Sus scrofa: one gene and its partners. The protein of the gene in region 1 purifies or fractionates together with the protein of each later gene. This does not show direct contact. Links are inferred from orthologs where the notes say so. Each region holds a gene or a part of one and is shown in the gene's direction. Other genes may lie near its edges.

The links. Proteins that work in one complex are often made in the same cells at the same time.
Region 2: the proteins of INTS1 (region 1) and PPP2R1A purify together in Homo sapiens (affinity purification with mass spectrometry; 4 studies listed by BioGRID and IntAct, with this or other methods). This does not show direct contact. The link is inferred for Sus scrofa from reciprocal best matches to the Homo sapiens genes INTS1 and PPP2R1A.
Region 3: the proteins of INTS1 (region 1) and PPP2CA purify together in Homo sapiens (affinity purification with mass spectrometry; 5 studies listed by BioGRID and IntAct, with this or other methods). This does not show direct contact. The link is inferred for Sus scrofa from reciprocal best matches to the Homo sapiens genes INTS1 and PPP2CA.

What each region holds. Positions count from the first base shown.
Region 1 is NC_010445.4:1,002,782-1,006,926, reverse strand, and holds the start of INTS1 (integrator complex subunit 1), read left to right. Parts: upstream 1-1,342; 5' UTR 1,343-1,633; coding exon 1,634-1,691; intron 1,692-2,350; coding exon 2,351-2,641; intron 2,642-4,145. UniProt on the Homo sapiens protein: Component of the integrator complex, a multiprotein complex that terminates RNA polymerase II (Pol II) transcription in the promoter-proximal region of genes.
Region 2 is NC_010448.4:57,944,423-57,947,951, reverse strand, and holds part of PPP2R1A (serine/threonine-protein phosphatase 2A 65 kDa regulatory subunit A alpha isoform), read left to right. Parts: intron 1-1,621; coding exon 1,622-1,722; intron 1,723-3,529. UniProt on the Homo sapiens protein: The PR65 subunit of protein phosphatase 2A serves as a scaffolding molecule to coordinate the assembly of the catalytic subunit and a variable regulatory B subunit.
Region 3 is NC_010444.4:136,505,605-136,509,133, reverse strand, and holds part of PPP2CA (serine/threonine-protein phosphatase 2A catalytic subunit alpha isoform), read left to right. Parts: intron 1-195; coding exon 196-405; intron 406-3,529. UniProt on the Homo sapiens protein: Catalytic subunit of protein phosphatase 2A (PP2A), a serine/threonine phosphatase involved in the regulation of a wide variety of enzymes, signal transduction pathways, and cellular events.

The sequences.
Region 1 (4,145 bases):
GGCCCCGTCCAGGGCCTCAACCGTCCTTGGGGGCTGTGCTTCCAGCAGAAGCCCCTGGGAACCTGGGGACCCCTGGCTTAGAACCCCAACACCCCAGTTGCAGCTGATGGTACCCTGGGCTAGAGACGTCGGGGCCCGAGTCAGCCGGCTGGTGGGGTCCACGGTTAGGGAAGTCTCCCCCGTGGGGCTGGGGCTGGACTGTGAGAGCCACAGAGTCTCTTAGCACAAAGCCTCACTCAGAGACGTGACCCACCCCAGGAGGGCTTCTGGCTGCGCCTGCGTCCCGGGGACGCCCAGCTCCTCTGAGTTCCCATCTGGAGAAGCTCAGGGCTGCCAAGAGGATCCACTGTGTGTTCAGCCAGCACCTGACGTGGGCCCTGCCCCTCCTTAGACTAGACTAGAAGGCCTTGCAGCTGTGACTCCTCCCCCAGAGGGGCCCTGACTGATGGAGGCTGGCAGCTGGCCCAGCACATCTGGACGGCCCGCTGTCTGCAAGTTTCTAACTGGGACCCCCCTCTGTAAAACTCCTCGCTTTCCCCCAAAGCAGTAGTTACTGCAGGAGCTGTTTCTCAGCTTTAGCCAATGCTGGGCTGCGTTTCTCTGGGATGCCGCCTTTCTGAGGCACTTGGTTTGCGAGGACTGCGCCTGCAGAGACCCTCCGCTCAGCCGGACCCGTCAGGGCCTCCCATAAGGAGGCCACCGGCTGCAAGTGGCCGGCAGCCCTGTGCCTGGTGAGGTGGGGCTGCAGGGCCTAGGACCGCGTGACGACCCCCAGGAGGAGGAGAACATGAGGGTCTCAGCATGGACTCTCGCGCAGAGGTGCTGGCATCCTCTGCCACCGAACAGACCTGGTACATGTCACAGGGACCCACTGTGCCGGCCAGCACACTGAGGCTGATGCTCTCAGTCCTGCTCTGATGACACCTGGCCCCACACTTGGGCCGGCCTGGGGATGCCCGGTCCCTCTTGCCCTTCTGTGTGCTCTGCCCACTCCCAGTGCTGAGCTCCCTCCTGGACCCCACCATGGGGACCCAGGCTCTGCCCTTTGACCCACAAAAGGAAGAGGCCTCTGAAGGCCCAGCACGTATGGGTTAGGATCCGAGGCCACCCTTCCTAGCTGTGTCCTTGGGCACATCACTAAGTAAGGTCAGCCTCACCTGCAGGAGCGGGTGACCCGGCCCACCTCGCCAGGTAGAGACCGGCGGCTCCGAGGCCCTGCCGACCTCCCGCCGCCTGAGGGCGCTGCAGGCACCGCTCAGGGGCCGCGGACCCTCTGGCCTCGCCGCGCTCCCCCGCCCCCCCCGCCGCGCTGTTTTGCTTCCGGGTGTTCCGGAAGTGGGGCTCTGAGGGCAGTTCCGGTTCCGGAGCGGCTGTGGCGGCGGTTGGGGACCGATGCGCTGAGCCAGAGTTGGTGTGGCGCGGCTGCCGGCGACGCAAACCCTGCCCGGGTCCGAGGCGGGGTCGCGCGGCCGCTTCGGGAGTCGCTGCGCGCGGCGGGGCGGGCCATTCACCCGGGGCCCCAGCGCCCGACGGCGGATCCGAATGAATGGGCGAGCGACGGACGCCTGAGTGGCGCTGGTCCTCTCCCCGCTGAGGCGTCGGTAGTGAGGAGCGGCGAGGGGTCGGGGACAGAATGAACCGGGCCAAGCCCACCACCGTCCGTAGGCCCAGCGCTGCGGCCAAGCCTTCAGGTGCGCGGGCCTCTCCCGGCGGCGTGCGGCATCGGGGCTTCAGCCCGGCTCCTGGGTCGGGTTGCGGCTTCGTTGCTCCGAGGCGAGCGCGGTGTCCAGGAGTGGGGTTCGAAGAGGAGCCCTTGGGCCGGGCCTCGCTGGGGCTCTGGAGTCCCGGCGGGGGCCGGGGGATTGGGTTGGGACAGCCGCGACTGCCTTCAGAACGAGGCTTCTCGTCCGACGGTGCGTCTGAGGCGTAGACAGCAGCCCGGGAGTCCCGGTCGGGGGAAGCGGCGGCACCGGCGTGGTGGCTGAAGGCAGGCTGGCCTCGGGGCCTGCTGTGCCCCTCCCCAGCTGTGTGGCCTTGGCCCTGTTACTTAACTCCCCGTGCCTGGTCGTCCTCACCTGGAAGTGAGCGTGATCACGCCCGTTTCCGAAGCCGGCGGAGGCCTCGGGCACTGGCCCTTGTGAGCCAGAGACCGCCGGGCCTGTGGCGAGCTCTGTGACTGGCGGCGATGCAGTCCCCGCTCTGCTGTGGACTGGCTGGCTGACCTGTTCCTGGCCTCCCCCGATCCTCGTTTCGTCTCTGAAGTAGCGGGAGGCCGGAGTGGGTCTCCAGCACCCTTGCCCCCTCGGCCGCTGTGTGAAGGAGCACGTGGCTCCGTGTCTTTTCTCCGCAGGGCACCCTCCCCCAGGGGACTTCATTGCTCTGGGCTCGAAGGGTCAGGCCAGTGAGTCAAAGACGGCATCCACCCTGCTGAAGCCTGCGCCTTCTGGCCTGCCCTCGGAGCGCAAGCGGGATGCTGCGGCTGCTCTGGCCGGTGCCTCGTCCCTGACTGGCCTCACCAAACGCCCCAAGCTCTCCTCCACACCCCCTCTGAGTGCCCTGGGCCGCCTGGCTGAGGCTGCAGTGGCGGAGAAACGCGCTATCTCTCCCTCGATTAAGGAACCATCTGTGGTCCCCATCGAAGGTAAGGTCAGCCCTTAGACGTGCGCAGAGGAGGTAGCCCACCCGCCCCAGGGCCCCCGGCGTTCGCACAGGCCACTGCCCCGCCTGGCATCGTGGGCGTGGCCTAGCTTAGTGGAGAAGAGGAGAGAAGCATCATCTGTGAGTTTGTTTTTCAAAGCATCTCATCTGGGTGCCTTCCCCCCACATGTGCTTCAGGGGATGTGCTCACGTGACTCACGGCAGGAGGGCACAGGTAGGTCTGGGGCCCGAGTGAGCTGCCGCCACGTAGCGGGAGCAGCGCTGACCGCAGGCACCCAGTGGCCCTCTTGGCCCCTATCAGTTCTTATTTTTTTCTTCTTTGTAGGGCCGCACTCACGGCACGTGGCGGTTCCCAGGCTAGGGGTGCAGCTGCTGGCCACAGCCACAGCAGTGCCAGATTCCAGCCACGTCTGCCACCTGCACCACAGCTCACGGCAACGCTGGATCCTTAATCCACTGAGCGAAGCCAGGGAGCGAACCTGCAACCTCATGGTTCCTAGTCAGGTTCATTAATCACTGAGCCACTACGGGAACTCCACCTGTCAGTTCTTACCAGTGCAGTGGACGGGTCACGCCAGGGCTTCCGGAATTGGGGGTGGACGGCTGGCCCCGTTCTAGGGGAGGAGCTGGTGCCAGGGTGACGCACTCTGGTGGACGGCCAGCGCCTCTCCTGTGGGAACAGGTTCGCGCCTCTGTTCCCTTGCTGGTCTGTCCCCTCCCTCTGACAGGCTCCCTTCTCTTTTTTTTTTTTTTTTTTTTGCCTTTTCTAGGGCCGCTCCCACGGCATATGGAGGTTCCCAGGCTAGGGGTCGAATCGGAGCTGTAGCCGCCGGCCTACGCCAGAGCCAAGGCAACGCGGGATCCGAGCCGCGTCTGCGACCTACACCACAGCTCACGGTAACGCCGGATCCTTAACCCACTGAGCGAGGCCAGGGATCAAACCCGCCACCTCATGGTTCCTAGTCTGATTCCTTAACCACTGCGCCATGGCGGGAACTCCCGTTCCCTTTTCAACCGCTGTTCGGATGTCTAAAACCCAATCCTGACAAGGTCTTGGGTCAGAGGAGGAGTCCCGAGGGCAGCGAGGAAGTGTGGACGTGAACAGTAACAGATGCAGTGCGAGCCAGACGCGCGACAGAGCCGAAGCCTGGCTGAGAGGGACGCGCAGAGGAGCAGGGCGGGGAGGCCCCGAGCTGCGGTCCCGGCAGAGAAGCAGGGCCGTGGCCGATTAAGTCGGTGGAAGAGCAGAGTGGGAAGGGCAGGGCAGAGGCCCGTGGCCCGGGAAGAGGGCCAGAGCCCGGGGTGGGGGTTCTCTGCAGAGACGGCAGGACAGCCTCTGCGAGGCAGAGCCCGGGAGAGGCCGGAGGAGCAGCCACGGGTGAAAAGAGAAGGGAGCTGTGCGTGGCAGCATGCCCGTTAACTTGACAACCTAGAAAAAATGACCCATTCATAGAAAAACGGGTGTGTTTCAAGACCAGGGGGCCCCG
Region 2 (3,529 bases), on another chromosome or scaffold:
ATCCTCTCACCGGGGCCAAGTGATGGTGTGGGGGACGGGGCAGGGGAGGCAGGGATCACTGCCCCCAAGTCCTTCAACCCTGGCGGAAGCTGAGGCCCAAAGAGACCCTTTGGGCCTTGCCCGCAGTCACGGTGCATGACCGAGGGGCACAGGTGTGTCTACCTCTGAATGCATGTGAATGGCGGGCATCTGTACGTGTGACGACAGGTGACTTTGAGCAGGTGACCTCACTCCACCGCTCTGCAGGGGGGCGAGGAGGACCTAACTCCCCGTGCGGTTGGGGGGTTTGGAGCTCCATGCAGAGCCTGATCCACGAAGACAGAACAGGCTGCTGGTGATTCTTTGATGAGGTGGTGGGGGTGCAGCCGGGAGGGAAGCTGGCGGGACTAAATAGTCAGCGGAGGCGGGGCTGACCGTGGCGACGTGGGGGAGACGCAAGGCCCCGTTAGCTTGGGGGTGACGGATCTGGGTCAGGCCGGAGGAGGCCGAGAGGACGGGGAGGCTGGGAAGGCAGTTCTGTGGAGGCGGGAAGGGTAGGAATCAGGTGCTGGCAGCTCCTGTGTGTTTACTTGGCTGTGTGGGGCTTGGCCAAGGGTCTGGCCTGGAGGTGGAGTCGGGTCCGAGCCGAGGCCGCGGACAGGCCTGAGTCTGGGAGGTGGGCACAGCAGGGAGGGTGATCTGAACGCGTGCAGAGGGAGCCCGGGCGCACGGCGGGTGGAGCCACGCTGGCCGGAGCTTTCTAGAGCGCGGACCTGTGCTGGGCCCACGTGAGCTCTTCGCAGAAAGCAGCTACTTCCCTTCAGTCAGAACAACCGTGTTGTCGTCTGGGGCTGAGGGGATAATCTCAGAGGTGAAGGTAGTTGCCCCACAGCCACAGAGCGGGACTTGAACCGTCCACAAGACGGGGAGTCTGCCTCTCGTAAACTCAGGACGTGGCAGTGGACCCGAGGGATGCCAGTGCCTCGGCGAGCGGGGGGGGGGGGCTGGCCAAAGGCCTTTGCGTTTAGGCCTTGGGGCAGAGCAGTTCTTTCTTGGTCGCCTTCTTTCAGCGACGTTGAGCAGGCGGAGTGCCCGCCGTGCCGTGCTGTCTCTGGCAGGAGCTGTGGCACAGGCTCGGGCGGTCCTAGCCTGAGACGTGGTCTCCGCAGAGGCGGCGTGGCTGGGCCGTGAGCCCAGAGAAGGGACCTGCCTTTCTGGGGGCATCCTGGAACTCTTCCAGGACCCAGTAGCCGACCTGAGTGTGCAGGGACGGAGAAGAGCTCCTCAGGCCGAAGCGGGAGGCGTCGCTGGCAGCGACAGCGCTGAGGGCGAGAGCTGAGAGTTGCAGGGCAGGCCCTGCGCTCGGACACAGGCCTTGTTGGTGCCTCACTGTGCCCTTCCCTGAGGGCGGAGGTGGTCGGCACCGGCGTGCAGCTGCAGAAACGGAATGCAGCGTCCCACCCCTAGTCACGGGCGCTCTGTTGCCCGACCCCAGCCTGTGTCTTCATCTCTGCCCGCACAGCGGAGGGCGGCTGCCAGTTCGAGGAGGCGGTGTGGAGCCTGCTTGTTCTGAGCTTGGGCGACGGAGGGGCCGGGGTCAGACCTGGGGCGGGATTGTGACACTGTCTGTCTTGTCCCCCAGACACCATCTACGATGAGGACGAGGTCCTGCTGGCCCTGGCGGAACAGCTGGGCACCTTCACCACGCTGGTCGGAGGCCCCGAGTACGTGCACTGCCTGCTGGTGAGTCTGGAAGTGGACCGTCCCCCGCCCGCCGCTGGTGGGGTCTGGCCCACGGTCCCGCCAGCCTGGGCGCAGGCCATCCCCGTGGAACACATCGGCCTTGGATGTTGACTTGACCCTGGCAGGTCAGCAGTGGCATTTAAAACAGCAGTCACGAAAATGCTGGCATCGGTGATGCCGTCGATCGGGCGTGCCTGACCAGAGCTGGTCCTTCCTGGCACTCTGCACATGAGGCTGAGGTCGGGCTGGGTTCTTCCGCTTAATTGCTGTGTGACTTGTAAGTTTCTTACCCTCTCTGTGCTATGCTTTCCTCTTCTGTTGAGGGTGAGGCATTAACGCTTACCTTAGAACAGACCCAGCAGTGGTCTCAGCATGGTGCTTGCTCTGTGCAGGTGCTGACAGATGTTAGCTGTCATCATGCCCCGTGTGATGAGGTCGTGTCTGCCCTTAGGGTATAGACAGCCTCCCGGAGCACAGAGGGGAGGCAGCTTGTCCAAGGTCGGGTGGCAGAGCAGGGATTCCAGGCGTGTCCGAGTGACGCTTCCCCAGGCCCTGCCTCCCCAGCCTGGGCCGCCCTGTGCTGGGTAATGGCTGGGGACACAGATGTGACTGCTGTTTGGGAGAAGAGACGGGAGGAGGTGCCCCAGTGCTGAATTCTGGGTCAGCAGAACCTAGGGGGAGCTCCGTTCCCGGTTTTCTCTGTTCCTCGGAGCCGTGGGCTGTAGCTGTTGCCTCCGTCCCCCCGCAGTCATTCTGTGTTTCACGTCTAAAGGCACATTTCCATACGTTGGCGTCTGCGCTTGGGATGTTTACAGTTAGTTACTGTCAGCAGGCTTTCTTCCTTTTCGTGGTGCATGAAATAAGGTGTTTGTTAGAATTGTTGGCATCTTGGATTTGAGCAAAGATGGTAGTTTGTTTCCTTCCAAACATTCATGAAGCATTAACTCTAGGAAAATGTGATAATTACCGTGAAATTCTGGTGTCCCGTCTTTCATCTGTGTGCATGTGTAATTTGTAGATGTACACACACAAGGTCATATGTGAATGGGGTAATTTCATACCTTTGACACACAGTAGAACTGTCTAATGCCCTCCTCTGATGCGACGTGATGTGATGTGGTCGCTGGGCCAGCCTGCAGGGGGTCCCTTGAACTCCATGGAACTGTCTGCAGCCCCTGATGCTTGTCACTTTTCCTGAGGAGAGAATTCACAGCTTTTAGCAGCTTCTCAGAGGACTCAGAGCAGAAAACACTGTTGAGAGCCCCACGCCTTCTCAAGGGCCCGGGGCCTGGGGCCAGCCAGGACTGGAGCCCAGGGCGCCTTCCCCGCCCGTTCCGGGTCTTCCCCCTGCGCGTTCTCAGCGAGGGAAACCCCAGTCCTCCCCGTGCTGCCTTTGGGGAGCACGTGCCCTGGGGATGGGTGTCTGCTGGCCCCTCTGGGTCAGGCAGCACTATCCCTTTGCCCAAGGCTTCCCTCTGTTCCCTGCCCGGGCCCAGGAAGCACTTGCGTCTGTGATTGCTTTCCGATTTCCCTGCTGTCGGGCTGGGCTGGACGTCAGACCACTGATCTCCGCATCTTTGTGGGAAGATTAGAATGAGTTGAGTCCCCCTTTGTTAGGTCAGTAATGACTGAGTTCCCGCCCCGTGCTAGGTCTGCTGGGCTCAGGGGCCGCATTGCTCAGCCAGTCACATGTCCCTCCAGGCCTCACGGTAACAAGTCAGGAGGCATGGGCCCCAGGGTGCCCCGGTGGCGTGAGCGCCTGAGGCCGTTGCCTGTCAGCAGCTCTGTCCTCAGCTCTGGGAGGGTC
Region 3 (3,529 bases), on another chromosome or scaffold:
AGTGGATAGATTGCAGTCATAGCGTGTCCTCTTAATTTAATGGGATCATAATTGCCTGCAATTTCACCTTATGCCAAGTCTTCCCTTGACAACTACTTAAAGTATAACTTAAACATATCTGAAATGTCACTAAATATGTCTTTGTTGATGTTGTTTAATGCCAAATATTTTGGTTTATTTTTTTTCCACCTGTAGGCTAAAGAAATCCTGACAAAAGAATCCAACGTGCAAGAGGTTCGATGTCCAGTCACTGTCTGTGGAGATGTGCACGGGCAATTTCATGATCTCATGGAACTGTTTAGAATTGGTGGCAAATCACCAGATACGAATTACCTGTTTATGGGAGATTACGTTGACAGAGGATATTATTCCGTTGAAACAGTTACTCTGCTTGTAGCTCTTAAGGTAATTTCAGTTTTATGTCTGAGCAGTTTGAATTGGGTAAGACAGTCCTCTTGAATTTCTTTTCCAGTCGTCTTTGGTTTTCTCCATCTGAATGTTAGCTTTTAGAATAAAACTCCACCTTTGTAGATGTTTTTGAAGCATTATAAAGGAACAAAGGTTTCAGATGTTTATATTCTTTGACATAATATTTCTATTATTAAAATTTTACTGAGGGAGAATTTAATAAGAGGAAAGGAGCTTTATTTAGGTGAAAACATAAATTGTAGCATTATCTTTAATACCAGAAAAAGAATTGATATATTGGAGTTCCCTTGTGGAGCAGAGGGTTAAGTATCCAGCAGTTGTTACTGCAATGGCTGAGGTTGTTCCCTTGTGGAGCAGAGGGTTAAGTATCCAGCAGTTGTTACTGCAATGGCTGAGGTTGTTGCTGTGGTGTGGGCCAGGAACTTTCACATGCCATAGGCACGGCCAAGAAAAGAAAAAGAATTGAAATAAATAACTAACAATAAGTGAATATTGAAATTATGGTTTATCTCAGTGGAGTAGTTTGTAGCCATTAAACATGACATGTAACCTAGAGCAATGGGAGTGATAAAGCAAGTTGTTTTGTACCAGCTGTAGCTTTGGGGAATTTGCAAAGATCTGAAGGTGAAACAAAACAGTGAAGAGCTTTTTAGGATGGTCTTTCTCTTAAAATAAATTATTTGACTTGACTTTGGGGGAGAAAACTTTATTAAAGAATATGTAGGCGTTCCCATCATGGCTCAGTGGTTAACGAACCCGACTAGCAACCATGAGGATTCGGGTTCGATCCCTGGCCTCACTCAGTGGGTTAAGGATCTGGCATTGCCATGAGCTGTGATGTAGGTCACAGATGCGGCTCAGATCCTGCATTGCTGTGGCTCTGGCGTAGGCCGGAGACTACAGCTCCGATTAGACCCCTAACCTGGGAACCTCCGTATACCGCGGTGCGGCCCTGAAAAGGCAAAAGACAAAAAAAGACAGAGATTATGTAGACTGGTGAGATGGCTGCCAAGATCTAGTATTGGAAAAGCAGGTGTGGTTTTGGCAAGAGCTGCATTTTAGGCAATTAATAAAATGTAAATGTGAAGCTACTAGTCTAAATCTTGTAAATTGCTACAAAACATTTTTGGAGGTGGTTATGTTTTGCATCTCTAAATTGTAGTAGTTGAATTAAAGGATGGTAAGTTTTCTCTAGTAACTCTGGATACTTGGAAAGCAGCCTTGCAAGCTAACCTTTACTTTAAAAGCCCAGGGTGAATCCCAGTGCTCAGAGGAGTAATGAATATGCTACCTTTAAGAATTCACATTTGAATGTGTCAGGGGTTGAATTGTGCCACTACCACCTGATCCCCACATTGATGTGTTGAAGTCCTAACTCCCAATACCTCAGAAGGTGTCTGTATTGGAGACAGTGTTTGAAGAGGTAATGAGAGTATAAAGTGAGGTCATATGAATGAGCTCTAATCCAGCCTGACTGGTGTCCTTCTAAGAAGAGATTAGGACACAGATTCAGAGGGAAGATGACGAAAAGGCACACGGAAAAGATGGCCATTTTTTTAGTTGAAGGGGAGAGAGGGGCCTTCAGAAGAAACCACTCCTGCTGACACCTTGATCTTGGGACTTCTAACCTCTAGAAACTGTTAGGAAATAAATACCTATTGTTTAAGGCTTCTGGTCTGTGGTACCTTGTATGGTAGCCCTAGGAGACTATTACAGTTTGGTATCTATACACACACAAAAAAATGAACCATAGATACCTCATACCATATATTTAGATGGACCGTAATTGATCATAGACCTAAGTATGGGTGCTAAAACTGTGAAACTTCTAAAGAGAAACATAGAAGCGTTCCTGTAGTGGCTCAGCGAGTTAAGGACCTGACATTGTCTCTGTGAAGATGCAAGTTCAATCCCTGGCTTTGCTCAGTGGGTTAAGGATCTGGCATTGCTTTGAGCTACAGCATAGGCCAGAGTTGCCAGTCCAGTTGACTCCTGGCTTTGGAACTTCCACATGCTGCAGGTGCAGCCATTTTAAATGATTAATTAAAATTAAAAATCTTTGTAACCTTGGAGTTATGTCATGTTATGTCATGTGGTTATGTCATGGCTCAGTGGTTAACAAAGCCAGCTAGCATCCATGAGGATGTGGGTTCTATCCCTGGGCTCGCTCAATGGATTAAGGATCTGGCGTTGCTCTGGGCTGTGGTATATATAGGTTGCTGATGTGACTCAGGTCTTGCGTTGCTCTGGCATAGGCAGGCAGCTGTAGCTCTGATTCGATTGACCCTTAGCCTGGGAACCTCCATATGCCGCTGGTGCAGCCCTAAAAAGACAAAAGCCAAAAAAAAAAAAAGAATTTTTTTTTTTTTTTGTAACCTTGGGTTCAGCAAAGATGTCTTAGTTAAGATACTAAAAGCACAACCAATTAAAAATCTGATAGGTGTTCTCTTGTGCAGTGGGTTAAGCATCCAGTGTTGTCACTGCAGTGGCTTGGGTCGCTGCTGTGGTGTGGGTTTGATCATTGGCCTGGGAACTTCCTCAAACTGCAGGCAAGGCCAAAAAAAAAAAGGATAAATTGGACTGCATCAAAATTGATTTTTTTGTTCTTCAAAAGACAACAGTAAGAAAAAGTATTTGTAGGAGTTCCCGTCGTGGCACAGTGGTTAACGAATCTGACCAGGAACCATGAGGTTGCAGGTTCGATCCCTGCCCTTGCTCAGTGGGTTAACGATCCGGCGTTGCCGTGAGCTGTGGTGTAGGTTGCAGACGCGGCTCCGATCCCGCGTTGCTGTGGCTCTGGCATGGGCTGGCAGCTGCAGCTCCGATTAGGCCCCTAGCCTGGGAACCTCCATATGCCGCAGGAGTGGCCCAAGAAATGGCAAAAAGACCAAAAAAAAAAAAAAAAGTATTTGTATTCATATATATACTTAAACCTGTAATAATAAGAAGGCAAATAATTTTCAGTAGACACAATATTTGAATAGATGTTTCCACCAGGAACATACATGAATGGCCAGTAAGCACATGAAAAGATGCTCAAACGTTAGTTATCATCAGAGAGATGCAAATTAAAGTCAAAATCAGACCCATTAGAATGGCT